Coturnix japonica: one gene and its partner. The protein of the gene in region 2 interacts with the protein of the main gene of each other region in a biochemical or structural test. Links are inferred from orthologs where the notes say so. Each region holds a gene or a part of one and is shown on either strand. Other genes may lie near its edges.

Evidence for each region. The genes of interacting proteins can lie anywhere in the genome.
Region 1: the proteins of WWP2 (region 2) and SMAD7 are reported together in a solved structure, tested with the Homo sapiens proteins (2 studies listed by BioGRID, with this or other methods). The link is inferred for Coturnix japonica from reciprocal best matches to the Homo sapiens genes WWP2 and SMAD7.

What each region holds. Positions count from the first base shown.
Region 1 is NC_029547.1:1,106,207-1,113,764, forward strand, and holds the end of SMAD7 (mothers against decapentaplegic homolog 7), read left to right. Parts: intron 1-2,416; coding exon 2,417-2,955; 3' UTR 2,956-4,282; downstream 4,283-7,558. UniProt on the Homo sapiens protein: Antagonist of signaling by TGF-beta (transforming growth factor) type 1 receptor superfamily members; has been shown to inhibit TGF-beta (Transforming growth factor) and activin signaling by associating with their receptors thus preventing SMAD2 access.
Region 2 is NC_029526.1:17,008,875-17,017,317, forward strand, and holds the end of WWP2 (NEDD4-like E3 ubiquitin-protein ligase WWP2), read left to right. Parts: intron 1-10; coding exon 11-99; intron 100-1,116; coding exon 1,117-1,276; intron 1,277-1,944; coding exon 1,945-2,078; intron 2,079-2,166; coding exon 2,167-2,307; intron 2,308-2,733; coding exon 2,734-2,854; intron 2,855-3,149; coding exon 3,150-3,254; intron 3,255-3,344; coding exon 3,345-3,441; intron 3,442-4,462; coding exon 4,463-4,535; intron 4,536-4,725; coding exon 4,726-4,825; 3' UTR 4,826-5,972; downstream 5,973-8,443. Other genes in the region: PSMD7 (26S proteasome non-ATPase regulatory subunit 7), read right to left, coding at 7,015-7,453, 8,158-8,249. UniProt on the Homo sapiens protein: E3 ubiquitin-protein ligase which accepts ubiquitin from an E2 ubiquitin-conjugating enzyme in the form of a thioester and then directly transfers the ubiquitin to targeted substrates.

The sequences.
Region 1 (7,558 bases), on a different chromosome or scaffold from region 2:
TTTGAAGACCGCTAAGGTCATCCATTCCAACTGCTGACCCTTCATCACCATACCCACTTACAGAGTTATGAAGGTTGGAAAAGACCTCTAAGATCCCCAACTCCAGCCCACCCCCACCATTCCCACTGACTGTGTCAACAGTTGCCTCATCTCTATAGTTCTTGGCCACCTCCAGGGCCATCCTCACACCTCATTATGCTTGTGGCCATTGCCACAGAGCATAGAGAGCCTTTTGGGGATCAAATGTCCATCAACAGCATCACTTCATCAGTTTTTCCTTCTTTCTTATGACCTGCTCTCTTGCCCCGGTGACGCCATTGGCTTTTCCCATTCATTCATTCAGTGGGAAACACCGGTGCCAAAAAAAGAGGGGAGCAGGGAGGTCCCGGCAGTGGTGAGAAGCAGCACCATTGGGGCTGGCAGAGGGCCTGGCCTTGTGTGATTCCCATGGCTGCTGGAACAGACAACCCAGCCAAAAGTGGAGCTCGTGGGCGGAAGGCGCTGTGCCGTATTTACACCGCGCGGTCCAGAATCCCGGATTACCTAAGCCTTGTCCGTGAGGTCTGCTCACCCCATGCCATTGAAAACCCGAGTGGGATTCATTCATGAGCTCCAGCCCTCCACAGAGCTCTGTTCATTCATCGCCAGGGCGGTTGGCTTCTGCTTTTTTTTTTTAATATATTTTTTTAAAATGCAATTAAATACCTCTTTGTACACTGGGCAGAGCCGCTCGTTAAGGGGTCTTCTCAAACGCAGGCTCAAACAGGGGGTGAAAAAGGCCTTTCTGCCCCTATTCCCCCCTCCCCGCCCACTCCTGAAAGGGATGCTTTTATGTTAAAGAAAATAAACAGAGGGATTTTAGCGGGGTTCAACAGCTTCTACAAAATTCCCTCCACTGCTGTAAAGCAGAACGCGTGTGAGCTGCAGTGGCTGCACTTACTATGGGGGATAATAGCAGGAGGGGGAGAGTCGGTGGGGGTTGGATTTTTATATTTATTTATTTTTACAACCTAGCTTTGCTTTCCCGACTCTCCAAGCAGACGGCGAGTTAAAACATCTCAAAATACCAAATATAAAATGAAAAAGTAAATAAAAAACAAGCCCATGGGGAGGGTGCGGCAAGGGGGGGCGGGGAGGGCACAGCAGCATTTACATCACCCCACATGGCTCTGGTTTTTGGGGGGAGGGGGAGTGGAAAAACACCCTCCCAGGGGTGTTTCTTGCTGCACCCCTCCCCTCCCAATCCCCCTGGGACACTCTCCTTATGGGGCCATGACCCCCCATGGCTGTGTGTGACTGCAGAACTCTGTTCCTTGCTGGCACTGAAATGAGGAAATAATGAGCACTGCAAGGCTGCCGGTTCTGGAGCTGCTTTTTATTGTTGTTTTTGATATAAAAAATGCCTGTGCTGGAGGAGCAGCAAGAAGTCATAGGTGAACGACACAGAAAATACTGAAGATAGTGACATTAAGGCTTGGGGTGGGGTGTGAGGGAAGGGGGGTGTTGCTGGGTCACCCCCATACTTTCCTGCAGCCTGGTTGCATTTTGGTATTTTTAAGTGCAGTTATAGAGATGAATGGTTCCCAGGTCCCAACATGGTGCAAAGGCCATGAGGGATTATAGAGCAGCACTGGGTGCGGATGCTGCATTGAGGAAGGGGGTTTGGTGCTACTCAGCCCCCCTGGCCCCTTCCCCTGATGTCAAAACCCCTTTCCAGAGGATGGAGTCGAGATAAGGGCAAAGGGAACTAAGTTTTGGGTGGCTTTTGTGGTTTTTGGGGTGGCTTTTCTTAACAGCACACAGCTTCTGGCCTTCACCCTGCTGCTATCCACTAGGTTCACCCTCACCTGGCTCCATGAAAGCCTCAAAATGGGGCAGCTGAGCCCAGGGGTGGTGTCCTTTGAGCTGCTTTTGGAACTATGTCTTGTTTTATCATGCTGCCTCTGCACAGTGGGTGATAATTTGTTCCTGGAGATGGACTGTAGGGTGTTTGGTTGCACCCCTGGTAGGCTCAGTGATCATAGAATCATCACAGAACAGTGGAATCACAGAATGAGGACCTTGAAGGTCATGGAACTGGAGGATGGTTTGTTTAGAAGGGTCCTTGAAGAGCACTGAAGTGGAGAATGTTTGGATTGGAAGGGACATCAGAGATTATGGATGGATTGGGTTGGGTTGGAAGGGACCTTAAAGACGCCCAGATTCCAACCCCTTGCCATGAGTAGTGCCATCTCCCACCAGGCCAGGTTGCCCAAGGCCCCATCCTGCCTGGCCATGGGCAACTCCAGGGTGCTGAGGTTGTCAGGGTATGTGTGGAGAGCACCGTGAAGGGGTGGAACTCATGACATTGCATCACTTTGGTATCTGAATGCCCCCACAGTCCTCAATTTCTCCATCTTTTTGTCTCCCCCCGTAGATTCACAAGTTCTTCAGGAGTCAGGGGATCACTCACACTGGTGCGTGGTGGCATACTGGGAAGAGAAGACGCGCGTGGGTCGGCTGTACTCTGTCCAAGAGCCCTCCCTGGATATCTTCTATGATCTACCTCAGGGGAACGGCTTCTGCCTCGGGCAGCTCAACTCGGACAACAGAAGCCAGCTGGTGCAGAAGGTGCGCAGCAAGATCGGGTACGGCATCCAGCTCACCAAGGAGGTGGACGGCGTGTGGGTCTACAACCGCAGCAGCTACCCCATCTTCATCAAGTCGGCCACACTGGACAACCCCGACTCCAGGACGTTGCTGGTGCACAAAGTGTTCCCGGGTTTTTCCATCAAGGCTTTTGATTATGAGAAGGCGTACAGCCTGCAGAGGCCAAACGACCACGAGTTCACGCAGCAGCCATGGACTGGATTTACCGTGCAGATCAGCTTTGTGAAGGGCTGGGGCCAGTGCTACACCAGGCAGTTCATCAGCAGCTGCCCGTGCTGGTTAGAGGTTATTTTTAATAACCGATGACACGAGACGGAGCGGACTCATGACATTTATACTACTTTGCTGCTATTACTTCCTTCTGAGTGCTTGCTTTTCATGCAACCTTTTTGTTTTTGTTTCGTTTTGGTTGTTGTTTTTTTACCCCCCGCCACGCATCTCCCCCATTCTGAGAAATAGCTCGTGGAAAGATTTTCGCCCGGGTATTTTGATAAATAGAGCTATTTTTTAGAAGTGCAAACGACCAATAAGGAGGGCATGTGGGGCAGATCACATATGATAATCATTTCCCACTTCCCAAAGGATTATCCTGTGTGATGAGTGGGTTGGGAGCCACTTGTTCTTGGGTAGCGTGGTGGGATCCCTGTATTTTTCATGCCCTCCCCCCATCCCAATGTTGGTGACACCCAACTGATACCCTTCCCCAGCAGCGGTGCACAAACTTCCCACCAGGTCTTACCCTACCTGTGTCGTTTTTGCCATTGAGTTTTCTCATTGGGTCGTCGCTGTTGTTGGGTTCGCATCCCACCCCCCCATCTTTCCATGGTGTTTTATATCATCAAGGATTGATACAAGAGGAGAAAACGACAACGAAGAAACCACGCGTGGCCCACGCTTTGCAATTGGAGCTGAGTTGTGAAGTAAGCCTAGGGAATAAAAAACAAAACAACTACAAAAAAAAACAACATGAAGCAAAACAAAACAAAAACAAAAGAAATATGGGGAATATAAAGCGTCGAGGGTAGTTGGTCTGTCGGAACCTGTTGGATCAGGTTATCCCAGTGCCATCGTATCTGGAGACGCCGTTGTGCTTTCATTTCTTCTTGAATTCATACACACGTATGATACTTTTACACTGTTCTTAGCTCAATGAGCATGTTTAGACCTTAACATAAGCTATTTTTCTAAGTACAAAGGTTTAAATGAACAAGAGAGCATTCTCATCGGAACTTTGGCATCGTAGTGCTTTGGAAAGAAAACACACAGACACACAAAAAAAGGACTTCTTAAGAAAAAAAAAACCTGAGATTTATTAAAGAAGAGGAAAAAAAAATGTATTTTATGTTATATATAAATATATTATTACTTGTAAATACAAAGACGTTTTATAAGCATCATTATTTATGTATTGTGCAATGTGTATAAACGAGAAAAATAAGAGAAGATGCACTTTGCTTTAATATAAATGCAAATAACAAATGCCAAATTAAAAAAAAAAAAAAGAAAAAGAAAAGAACATGAGATTGGTGGTTTTTTTCTATGGGTGTTCTCATCCAGATGAATGTTTTGTTTTGTTTTGTTTTTTTTCTAAAGGATTTTATGTTCCATGAAAAAAATAAAAACATACACTTGACCCTCGGTGCGGAGTGGCTTTGTTAGAGGTGTGGAGGAGCAGCGTGAGGGGTTTTCCTATTGCTTGTCGTTTCAGGTTGAGCTCACCCCCATGGCAGCAGCCCAGTGTTCATCCTGTATCATCCTGTCCCTAAAATACGATGGCTTTTATGCCAGCGTGCCATCTGGGTTGCTCCGCAGGTCCATGGCTTTGATTGGAGCTCTGCATCGCATCCAGTGTGTCCTCAGCAGAAGTTCCTGTAGCTGATTGAGCTCCTACCTTTGGTGGAAGCTCACCAAAGTTTCTGAGTGGAAACTGCTGGCCCTGTGGAGCCTGAGGGCTTTGGAGAGGTGCAGCATCTGTGTCTTGGATCCTATTGGCCTTCATGTGGTGGACAGATGCGGTAGTTGAGGAGTCATTGTGAGCATCAAGAGCGGGTTCACCCAACGCTGCACCTTTCTGTTCAACATTCCCCACCCAAAGGGATTTATTGAGATATAGAGTCTGCTCTGAATGGACTATACCTTCATCTGGATTCCTTTCACCGAGCCCACCAACCAGCTTCAAAATGGTTTTGGATCATGTGTTTGTACCCACCCGTCTTGTTTGGTGTGCCCTGAAGGTGACCAAGAGGGCAGACATTAGTGTGTCTTCATCTACAGTACAATTTGCCTCACTTCCTTTCCGTTCCGTCCACCAGACATGAAACACTCAATAACCTCACATGACCAGTGGTCAAACCAGCAATGATGGTTTGTGTAAGAGGTTCAAGGAAAAATGTTCTGGCCCATTCCATGGTACCCCCCACCGAAGGCCCCGAAGATGAAGGATAAAATGGACATCATTGCAAAACTCAGCTGTGACTGCTCACCAGGAACAAGTGTCTTCTGGGGTTGGGAGATCCTCTGCACATCCCATTTTGCACCTTGTCCTGAGCAGTTGCCTCTTGCAGGAGAAGCGCTGTGCTGGCTGGATCTTTGGTTGGGCCTTTGGTTCAACCTTTGTTTGGAGCTTTGGTTGGACTTTTGTTTCAATCTTTGGTTGGATCTTTGGTTGCGGTTTGGTTTGAACATTGTTAGGAACTTGGACCTTTGGTCGGACGTGGCTTGCCAGGTTGGATGTTGTGGTGATGGAGAATGAGCTGAAACACCCCAAAGAGCCCTTCATTGTATGGGGCCTCTTAGTCTCATCTGTAAAAATATAAGACCAGGCATCACTGTTTGATGTCCGAAGGCTGAGAGATAATCAGCAAAACTACAGCTTTTCAATACTAATGCAGCTTGAGTTAAAGTGTCCCAGACTTCACTTCCTGCTGAGCTAATTTTAGTCCCTTTTCAGTCCTTTTTGTACCCTTTTCAGTGAAAAAAAAGTCCTTTTTGGTGAGCTGTAAACTTGCTCTGCACCGTGGCTCCAGATTAACTGGCATTAAAATGTCCTGATGATATCCTGCACCACTGTAAATTACAGCACGATTGTGCCCTTTTTCCTCATGTTGCCAAGTGGTAATTAAAGAGTGCAATAAAGAAGGGTTAAAGCATGTTGCTTTCTGCTGATATATGTGGAGTCTGCTCAAACTGTCAGCAAACAAGAGGGAAGTCTCCATAGTCTTGAGATCTTTGGAGCAAGTGGTTTCCATGGGGCAGAGCCATGCTCCCTGTTGTATTTGGATAATGTTCTGTATGGGACTCGTTCCCCATCTGCCCTGAGGACTCCAAGGAATTAATGGGCTCTTGTCTCACAGATTATTAACAAGTCTATTGCCTGAAAGGATCCATTTTATACATCCATTGGGTGAAGAGACCCATGGAGTCACCATTGAGTGAAGGGATCCATGAAGAGATCCGTTGGGTGAAGGGACCCGTGGAGACATCAACAGGGTGAAGAGGACCCATGGAGTCATCACTGGGAGAAGGGGCTCATGGAGATGTCTGTTGGGTGAAGGTACCAGGTCTGGGATGGACCCCTAGTGCCACCAGGCCCTATGGTGCCTGAGCTAGGATGAGTTTGGTCCCAGCTACTCCCTGCAGCTGGCCAGATGAGAATGCCCATGTCAATGTGCTCAAAATGTGGGGAAAATCTCATTCCAGCCCCAAATGTCTTGCTCAAAGTACCCTACAAAACTAAGGAGCAGGTGAGTCCCAGATCCCATCACTCGACCAGCGAAGGGACATAACACATGGATGTAACTCATGGGTATAACACATCTCCTGGGCTCATCAGCTCATTTCAAAGCCAGTGTCCAGGGATGAATAGGTCAGAAAACAATCTTGACCTCCCATCAGCAAGGCAAACTGAGAGCCTGAAGGAGCAGGAAAACTGAAAAGAGCCCTATTGCAACCAGGTGCCCATTGAAAGCAAGCAGAAACCTGGTGTCAAGGCATTCTCTGGGGCATGGGTGACATCAGGGAATCCAGATTTCTTGATGGCAGTGGGAGTGAGGCAGCAATGTGTGGACAGAGTTCATGGGTGTGGGGCTGTGGGCAGCGAGTCCTTGGGTTCTGCTGCAGAACCAAAGGGCACAAAGTGGTGATGCAATGAACCTGAGCCTCTGGGGATGCTCTGTGATGGACCTTTCGCACTGTCACCCCTGCTGCTCCTGCACCAAAACTCAGAGATGGGGGTCACACCAAGTTCAGAAGGTGAATTTTTCACCTGAGGCATATTCTTGTTGCAGGAAGACAGAGCTCCAGACTGGGATCTGCTTTGTCACCTTCTGTGTCCCTACACCATGGGATCATGGAATCATTGAGGTTGGAGAGGACCACTCAGATCACCCATAAGTGAACACCCACTGCCGCTGTTAACACTCCATCACACTCTGATCTCAGTGTCTCAATATCAGCACTGCATCCATCAATGGATGAGTGCATCAAGGTGCGAGGGACAATGGCAGAGGTGCACCTCAGTGATCACTGGGCTGGAGAGGAGCTCTGAAATCCCCATGCCTGACCACAACCATCCTCCTATCTCCACTGACCACATCCCCAAGCATAGGGGTGCAGGAAGCAGCACAGGACCCATAGCATAACCCATCCCGGAGGTCTTGGTGTGCCCCCTCCCACCCTCTGCTCCATCCCAACACAATGTTGCTTTCAGCTCTTTATTTTTTCCCCTCTCAGCTGTTTTTGGACCTCATTAAAAAAACACTGCAAAAGCTGCTGTTAATTAACCTTCCTCCAGTTGCTTCCCCTCCTCCTGCTGCCCCTCCTTCAGCCTCTCTCATTTTTGTGCCCCCCCCTTCACATGGAGGCTCTCCTGACCCCTTACAGTTTGTATGACACCACAGGGGTGGCACAC
Region 2 (8,443 bases):
CCCCCTGTAGATCATGAACATGAAGCCCTACGACCTGCGGCGCCGCCTCTACATCATCATGCGTGGTGAGGAGGGCCTGGACTATGGCGGCATTGCCAGGTGAGTGTGGGGCCACGTGTCTGCTGTGGGGCTGGGTGAGCCCCCCATGGCATGAAGCCTTCTGGTAACAGGGCTCAGGGTTCCTGGCCCTCTTCCAGTGCCTGCTCAGGGAGAGGAGGTGAGAACAGTGTGAGTTCTGGGAAGGCATTATTGCACTCCCTGATCCCTTGTACAGGGAGGGCTGGGGGTCCAGCAGCCCTCAGTGCGCTGTGATGGGCTGAGCTGCCTCCTCTCCCTCCAGGACAGGCACTGGTGTTTCTTCTTGAGACGGGCGGTGTGTGCCAGGGCAAATGTGGTGCTGCTGGCTTCCACCATCTACCCAGTGGATGGTGCCATGTGGCACTCTGCTGTGCCTCCAGCTGGAGGGACTGTCTGTTGTCCCCTGGCCATCCTGCCTTGGGTGTAAGGCTTAGTGGTGGGCTTGCACTGCCTCTTCTGCCCCAGAACCCGTGCTGCAGTGTGCTCCCCACCTCCTCCTTCCCAGTGATGCTGCTGCTGGCTGTGGGCAGGGCTCCTGCTGCCTGTGTCTCTCTGTGTCCTGCCAGTGGTTTTACCCTATGGTAGGTTACGTCATGCTGTTCTACCACAGGGTAGAACCACGGACGGGATGCCGGGGCTGCCTCTGCGTCCGAGGACTGCCAGTGGTGGGGGAGCAGAGTGAGGGCTGCGCCTGTTCTGCACTGCTTTGAGTGGGAAACTGGGGGGGGGGGGAGAGGGTTGTGGAGAAGGATAGCTGGTGTTTGTGGGCACTGTACATGTGTGCACAGGCACATGTGCACGTGTTTGACAGGCTGGTTTTTCCTTACTGATGTCTTCAGAGGCACTTTGCGGCTGGGTCCTGGGCTGCACAATACTCTCAGCAGGGCTCAGTGCCTGCCCTGCACCCCAAGGAGCTGGGCACTGTCTGTGCAGCCATGTTTCATGGGCACAGGGCTGTCCCCACTGCTGGGACAAAGCCTCCCATAGCAGACCCAGGTGCTGATGTCTGCTCACCACTTTTCCCTTCCTCTTGCCCAGGGAGTGGTTCTTCCTCCTGTCCCACGAGGTGCTCAACCCCATGTACTGCCTCTTCGAGTATGCCGGCAAGAACAACTACTGCCTGCAGATCAACCCCGCCTCCTCCATCAACCCTGACCACCTCACCTACTTCCGTTTCATCGGACGCTTCATCGCCATGGTAAGAGCCCGGGGCCGGGGAGCCCTGCTTGGCATAGTCACCTTTTCTGAGCACTTTCTTGCTCAGTGTGTGCCCAGAGGAAGAGTGGCCATAGCAGCATGAGGTGACGTGTTGCAGGGCTGGGGCTGGCCATGAGGCTGGGGTCACAGTTTCCTGGGGCTGTGCCTCCAGGCTATTGGCTGCCACCCGGTGCTATCAGCTCTGCAGCCCTGGGGCTGTTTTTAGCCCCAGCAGTGTGAGGTTTTCCAGCTGCCCCTGCCTGGCTCCTCCTGTTGTTCTCACCCTCCCCAGGGCCTGGTGGGCAAAGGGCTGCAGTGGTACCAGATGGGGCAGGGTCTGCCCAAAATGCTGCGCCCTGCCCTGCCCCACGCCTTGCAGGATCCCAATAAAACTCCAGACTATTACTCACCGCTGGGCTGTTCTAGACAAGCGTCTGCATTATTTTTGGCTGCCTTTGCCTTGGGGCTCCTGGAAGCCAGGGATTCAGGGAAGCCACGGCAGAACTCTGTTTAAACAAGTGCTCTTAATAGAGCTGCGACGGGAGATGGAGATGCAGTGGAATTCATGGTGGGGAGGGGAAGGGGTTGCGAGCCCCGTGCTGTGGGTCCAGCCGTGGTCTGCAAGGAGCCCATCCTGGTCCCTCTGATCCCCATCTCCGCACCCTTTAGGCTCTGTACCACGGGAAGTTCATTGACACCGGCTTCACGCTGCCCTTCTACAAGCGGATGCTGAACAAGCGGCCCACACTGAAGGACCTGGAATCCATTGATCCAGAGTTCTACAACTCCATCATCTGGACCAAGTGAGTGCCTTGCACTCGGGGATGGTGGGGAGGGAGGGTGGGTGCAGTGCTCCCCCTGTGACCTCTCACATCCCGGTGCCCTCTGCAGGGAGAACAGCCTGGAGGAGTGCGGCCTGGAGCTCTACTTCATCCAGGACATGGAGATCCTGGGCAAGGTGACCACCCATGAGCTGAAGGAGGGCGGTGAGAGCATCCGGGTGACAGAGGAGAACAAGGAGGAGTACATCATGTGAGTCTGGTCCTGATGCCACATTGGGCACTTGGCTTCAGGGCAGCACTGGGTGGGAGCGTGGGGCTGGGGATGTGGCCCCTCCTTGGCTACGTGGCTTTGAGAAGCCCGAGCTGGCGCAGCACTGCACTGCAGTCTGGCTGCCTGTGGTCTGGGCGGCTGCCAGGGCTCTCAGGGAAGAGGAGAGGGGAGAGAGGGTGCAACTCCTTGCCTCGCCCCATGCTGCTCACTGGCTTGTGTATTGCGGGGCTGCTGGGGCCACTGTGGTGCTGCTGGTGATTCCCTGATGGCGACTGCTCAATAATCAGAGCCCACTTCTGCTTGTGGGCTGTGGGAAGCAGTGGGAGGGAATCGTGGAATCCTGAAGGGTGAAAGATGGTGAGGAGAGCCCCGGTGCCACCCACGGACTCCTACCTGCCTTTGCAGGCTGCTGACAGACTGGAGGTTCACTCGGGGTGTGGAGGAGCAAACCAAGGCATTCCTGGATGGCTTCAACGAAGTGGTGCCACTCGAGTGGCTGCGGTACTTTGATGAGAAGGAGCTGGAGGTGAGCGGGCCCTGCCCCAGGCCGGCCATTGTGGTGCCCATGGGGTGTCTGAGCTCTGCTCAGCCTCGATCTCTTGATTTCACCTATTGGTTCAGAGATGTGCCCACCCAAGGCAGCAGGGGCTGCAGGGCTGCCTGTTGGGTCTCTTGGTGAGAACTTCTCATCGGAGGTGCAGAATTCCCTTGTACGCTTTTGTTGCTCAAGCTCATGCCTTGCACAGCCCCAAAAGACTCAGTGCTGTGATGTGTGAACACGGGGCTGTATTTCCATCCCCCTGACTGTCCTCCATCCCCAGCTGATGCTGTGCGGCATGCAGGAGATCGACATGAACGACTGGCAGAAGAACACCATCTACCGGCACTACACCAAGAACAGCAAACAGATCCAGTGGTTCTGGCAGGTGAGCCCCAGAGCCTTCATGTGCCACACTCAGGGCTGGGCGCTGCCTGAGGCTGTGGGGTGATGGGGATCCTCCTCCCTGTGCTTGCAGGTGGTGAAGGAGATGGACAATGAGAAGAGGATCCGCCTGCTGCAGTTTGTGACGGGGACGTGCCGTCTGCCTGTCGGGGGCTTCGCGGAGCTCATCGGTGTGTGACCACGCTAAGGTTGGGTGGGGAGGGGGATGATGGCCATGCCTGGCTTTGGTTGCTGGGGCCAAGTGTTCACATTCCCATTGTAGCAGGGCAGTGATACAGCTGCAGTGACATCTGAATAAGGCAGTGTGGTTGGTGCTGTGCTAAGACAAATTCCTTGGGCGTTAGCTGTGCCACTGCAGTTAACTTTGTCAGCCCAGTTTGTAGCCTCATTTTGAATGAGATTTTAGTGGGTTTTTTTGGGGCATCTTCATGGTAATGGTGACGGAGCACTGGAACAGGTTGCTCTGAGAGCTTGTAGTCTCCTTCTATGGAGATATTCAAGACCTGTCTGGATGCTGCCTGTGTGACCTATTGTGGGTAACCTGCTTTAGCAGGGTGTTGGACTGTATGATCCCTTGAGGTCCCTTCCAACCCCTGTGACTCTGTGTTTCTGTTTATTTAATTTTAATTTTTTGTGCTATGAAACCCCTTTTTTGGAAAACCATATTGTGGCATGACTCTGTGCCTGCCCTTTAATTTGCTGCTTTTTGGGGCCCCTAGCAGCCTGCCCAGTGTCTTCCTGGAACTGATGTGTACCAGCTAACTTAACCCGTTCGGTTATCCTTACTGCCATATCAGCCTTTTTCCAGCCCCCTGAAGCCTGTCCAGGGCCATTTGTTAAAAGCAGCCTCAGTGACTCAGACCTCCTGAGCCAGGTCCCTGCAGCGTGCAGGCAGACTGCTGGGTCCTGTGGCTCCACAGATGTGTGTTTCAGCACTCACTGCTGAACCACCTGCCTTGCACTCGGTGCTGTGTCACTGCGTGCTCTGGAAAACACTGTTCTGCTTTTCCTTTGGATACTCATCCTCTCTGTAGAGGGCTCAGAACAAGCTTTGAGTACAGCTCTGGGTTTGTTGCCCCCACGTGCTGTAGGATCATAGGGCTGAGTCACTCTGCTGGCTGTAGGGCCAGGTCAGAGTTCTTTTTCAGCTCCTGATCATGTAATGAGATCGGTTCTGCTCACCATTAACAGGCAGCAACGGGCCTCAGAAATTCTGCATCGATAAAGTTGGCAAAGAGACGTGGCTGCCTCGGAGCCATACATGGTGAGTGGCTGCTGTGTGGGGCACATGGTGGTGTCCCTGTGGGGCTGCGTGGGGCTCTGGCTGCCCGTACGCCTTTCTCCCTTGGGATGGAGCTGCTGGGGAGACCTGTGGGAGGGGAACCCTGTGGTGGGGAGCAGGGTGGCAGCAGTACTGGGCTCCCTGCCCTGCTCACAGCGCCCTGTCTCACCAGCTTTAACCGCTTGGATCTGCCTCCCTACAAGAGCTACGAACAGCTGAAGGAGAAGCTGCTGTATGCCATTGAGGAGACAGAAGGCTTTGGCCAGGAGTGATGGAGCCCTGCTGCTCTCTCAGCAGCTCCGGCGGTGCTCATAGCACTGCTGCCTGTGGGATGGTGCGGGCGGTGCTGATTCTGTTCTTATTCCTGTATGAGGTCTGCACTCACAGCTCCGGGGAAGCATCCACGTGTCCCTCCCAACCCAAACTGAAGTTGGGATGGGGAAGTGGGGGTGAAATCCCGTCCCTGCTCAGCCTGGGGCTGAGGAAGGGCCAAGCCCAGCCTCGTGCACACAGTGTGCACCACAGCTCCCGTCCCCTCGCTGGGATGCTGGGGGGATGTGGGTCCTGCATGGGGCTTTGGGCTGCGCTCCCTGTCCCAGCGGCTGCTCCATGTTAGTGGGGTTGTCCCTGTTTGTGGGAAATCACTGTGCACCTGGAAATGGACACAAACAGCTTCTGACTGATGCGCTGAAGCCAAACCCCAGTTGTTATTCAGTTTGTTTTGCCCCTCTCCCTGTAGCAGTACCCAGCCCTTCCCCCTGTGACACATGCCACCAATGGACTCCAGCCCTGACTTAACGAGCCAGGCTGGGGCTTTTCCCAGACTTAGATGTGAGATCTGGTTTAGGTGTAGGCTATTCCCCTCTAATTTTTTCAGCCTTCCTGTGGCGTTTCAGTAGATACATTGAGGATGAGAAGGGGCTCTTGCGCTGCCTCAGGTGCTCATAAAGGTATGTGTCTGGCCCCTATCCTGCTCCCAGCAAAGTACTGGGGTGCAGGCAGGGCTGGGCCTGGCACCAAGCTCCACCCTGCTACTGTGTTCTGAGTTGCCAGCGTGCAGTGCAGCCCTGTGCTGTTTGGTATTTAAAGCACGTGCTGGGAGCTGGTGCTCTGCAGCTTGTGTGAGGCTCTACCACCCCCATCCTGTGCTGTGCCAGGGCCTTCCAGAACTGTGATAAGGGCAGGATCAGGCCCTGCCTGTGGCCCTGTTGTAGCCAGGGTGAAGGGCCGTGGTGTCCTGGCAGTGGTTCTAGGACAGGGCCTTGGTGAGCAAGCGTTGGTGTGTGTATATCTGTACATAAATGAAATCGTGGATACAAAGCTCTGCAATAGCTTCTGACTGGTGACCGGAGCGTTTTGTACTGCACCATTCTGCCTCAGTGATGCCGATTTCTTGTGCAATAAAAGACAAGCAGCTGCCATGGTGCGTCCCTGGCTGGTGTCACAGTGCAGGGACAGCCCCCTGCCCCCCCCAGTGGATGAGGCTGGAGGTTGGGGTACCCTCCATGCCCCTATTTCAGGAGCAGGGACAGCTCTGCTCAGAGCTGTGGCCACTAGGTTGGTTTCTATGAATACATACATACATTCCATCTGTTTTTCTGTGCACACACGGAGGCGCCTTCCTTGCATTGGGGGTCTGGCTGGGTACAGCGGCTGTCTGCCTCCCCCAGCCTGTAATCATGCTTAGTTAAAAATGGCTCTGGGCTGGCTGGCTGGCCGTGGTTCTGTGGCTGCATGCCCGCAGCTGGGTGCCATGATGAACATGTCCCCTGTAATTAGTGGGCTGCAGCCAGGGCGGGAGGGGTGGGTATGGCTGGCACAGCACAGTGGCACCACCCTCACGGGGATGCGGTGCCACTGGGGCTTGGATGCTGTCATGCTGTGTGTGGTGCTGGGACACAATGCTGACAGCTGTGAGGCAGCAATGGAAATCAGGCACATGAGCACAGCATCCCTGGGAATTGCAGCTCTTGGTTTTTTAAAAAAAAAGCAAAAATCCAGCAGCAGAACTAAAGAAGGCTGCTATTCACAGCACCAGGGGCCAGCCAGCACCCCATAATTTTGCCATCGCTTTGCTTTTCAGCAGCACTTGCGATGGGTTATTATTTCTTTAACAGACTGTACTTGTGCCAGTATGGCACAGCCCACTCCCGAAATTCATTTGCTATGGGCCGGGCTGCATTGCTGTCTGTCAGCCCCAGGCACTGACACAGCCCAGCCCACCCTGGATGTATCCATACACCACATACAGCCAGACCACAGCACCCAGTCACAGCAACTCGCTCCTTGTGGCAGCTTCTGCCACTTTGAGTCCATTTGTACAGCCATGTCATAACAAATGCAGTGAGATTAAAAGCAGCCAAAGCCCAGAGCACTTATCACTACAAAGGAAAAGAACCCAGCAGCAAAGTGACTTAGTTTACAAGATTTTTTTAATTTACAAATAAAAAAACTACACATTTTACTTTTTCTCTTTTTTCTCCTCTTTCTTGACATCGCTCTTCTCCTTGTCTTTCTCCTTCTCATCTTTCCTCTCCTTTTTACTCTCTTCTTTTTCCTGTCCTTCCTTCTTCTCTGCATCCCTATTGGCAATCTTGTTATTGATGAGGTTGTGCAGGGCAACCACTGAGCGGATAAGAGAAGCCAGGTAAACAACCACCATCTGGTCATTGGTCTTCAGGTAAAAGGCCTTGACAAATTCCTGCAGGTTGACGTCCGGTAGCAGGTTGAAGACATCCTGAAGGTGGTAAATGATCTGGTGATTGATGGGGAGCTTGCCCATGGCTACTTTCTCGAGGTAGCTCCTGATGTCCAGAAGCTTGGAGTTCAGTCCCTTCAAGCCATGGACCTGATTTGTGATCCGCTGGGACAGGGTGCCCACCGTGGTGTCCTTGATGTCTCTGAAACATGCGTAACAAAGATTCCACATTAGAATGTTTGCTGTGTACTCATCAACAAGCTGTGCAAGCTGTGTGTATTCACTAAGAGGTCTTCCCTGTTTAGAAAGAACGGCAGTCGCAAGAAGGGGTGAAGCACAACTAAGCAGAACACTTGAAGTCAAAGAATGAGATCAAACTGATTTACATTACAAAGTGTGTCTAAAATAGGTCGTTGTATGCTTTTGTGCAGAAATGCTACCTCTGGAATAGTAGTAATGATGTTAGGGGATAGAAAGAAAGAAGCCAACGGGATTCCCAGCAGGTGAAAAGGCTGTGCAGCATGGATGGGGTGACTGCTCTTTTCCTGGCTGGCAAGCTTTGCCAGTTTGTCAGCTGCAGCTCCAGCAGCTGTGCTCCCACTCAGTCCTGCTCTGCAATGTATGCAGGGGCTGAGATGGTTCCAAACCATGATATTCCAAAGCTTTGAAACTATGACAGTGTAGCTATCATTATTCTATGGAGATTCAGTGGGCAGTTACACTTTTCACTAGCAATGACTGAACGTGCCAAGTAGGACTGCTAAGGGAACACACTTTTAGCACATAAGCAACATGTTTCACAAGCCCTGCATTTCCTCCAGGGAGCTGGCACTGGGAGATGCCAGATGGACCACGTTCCCTGCTGTGCAAGTCTCACAAGAAAGCTCTCATCTTAAAGGTGTTTACCGTAACAAGTGTTCAACACCAACTTCCTCTGCCTCCTCCGCTCCGATCTCACTAGTCACGTGCTCAAACGTCTTGGAGGTTGGAGTGCCATCCTTTGAGGTGCACAAACACAAAGAGACAGGGTTAGGCAGTGTGCACAGCTGACTACAGGTACAAAGAGACAGAGTGGCCAGTACAGATGGCTCACCCTCAAACAGAGGGGAGATGTGAATAGTGCCAAAGTGTGTAAGATGGACTGAGTCTTGTTTGCATGACAGAATCAGGAAGAGGCAATGGGACAAATTAG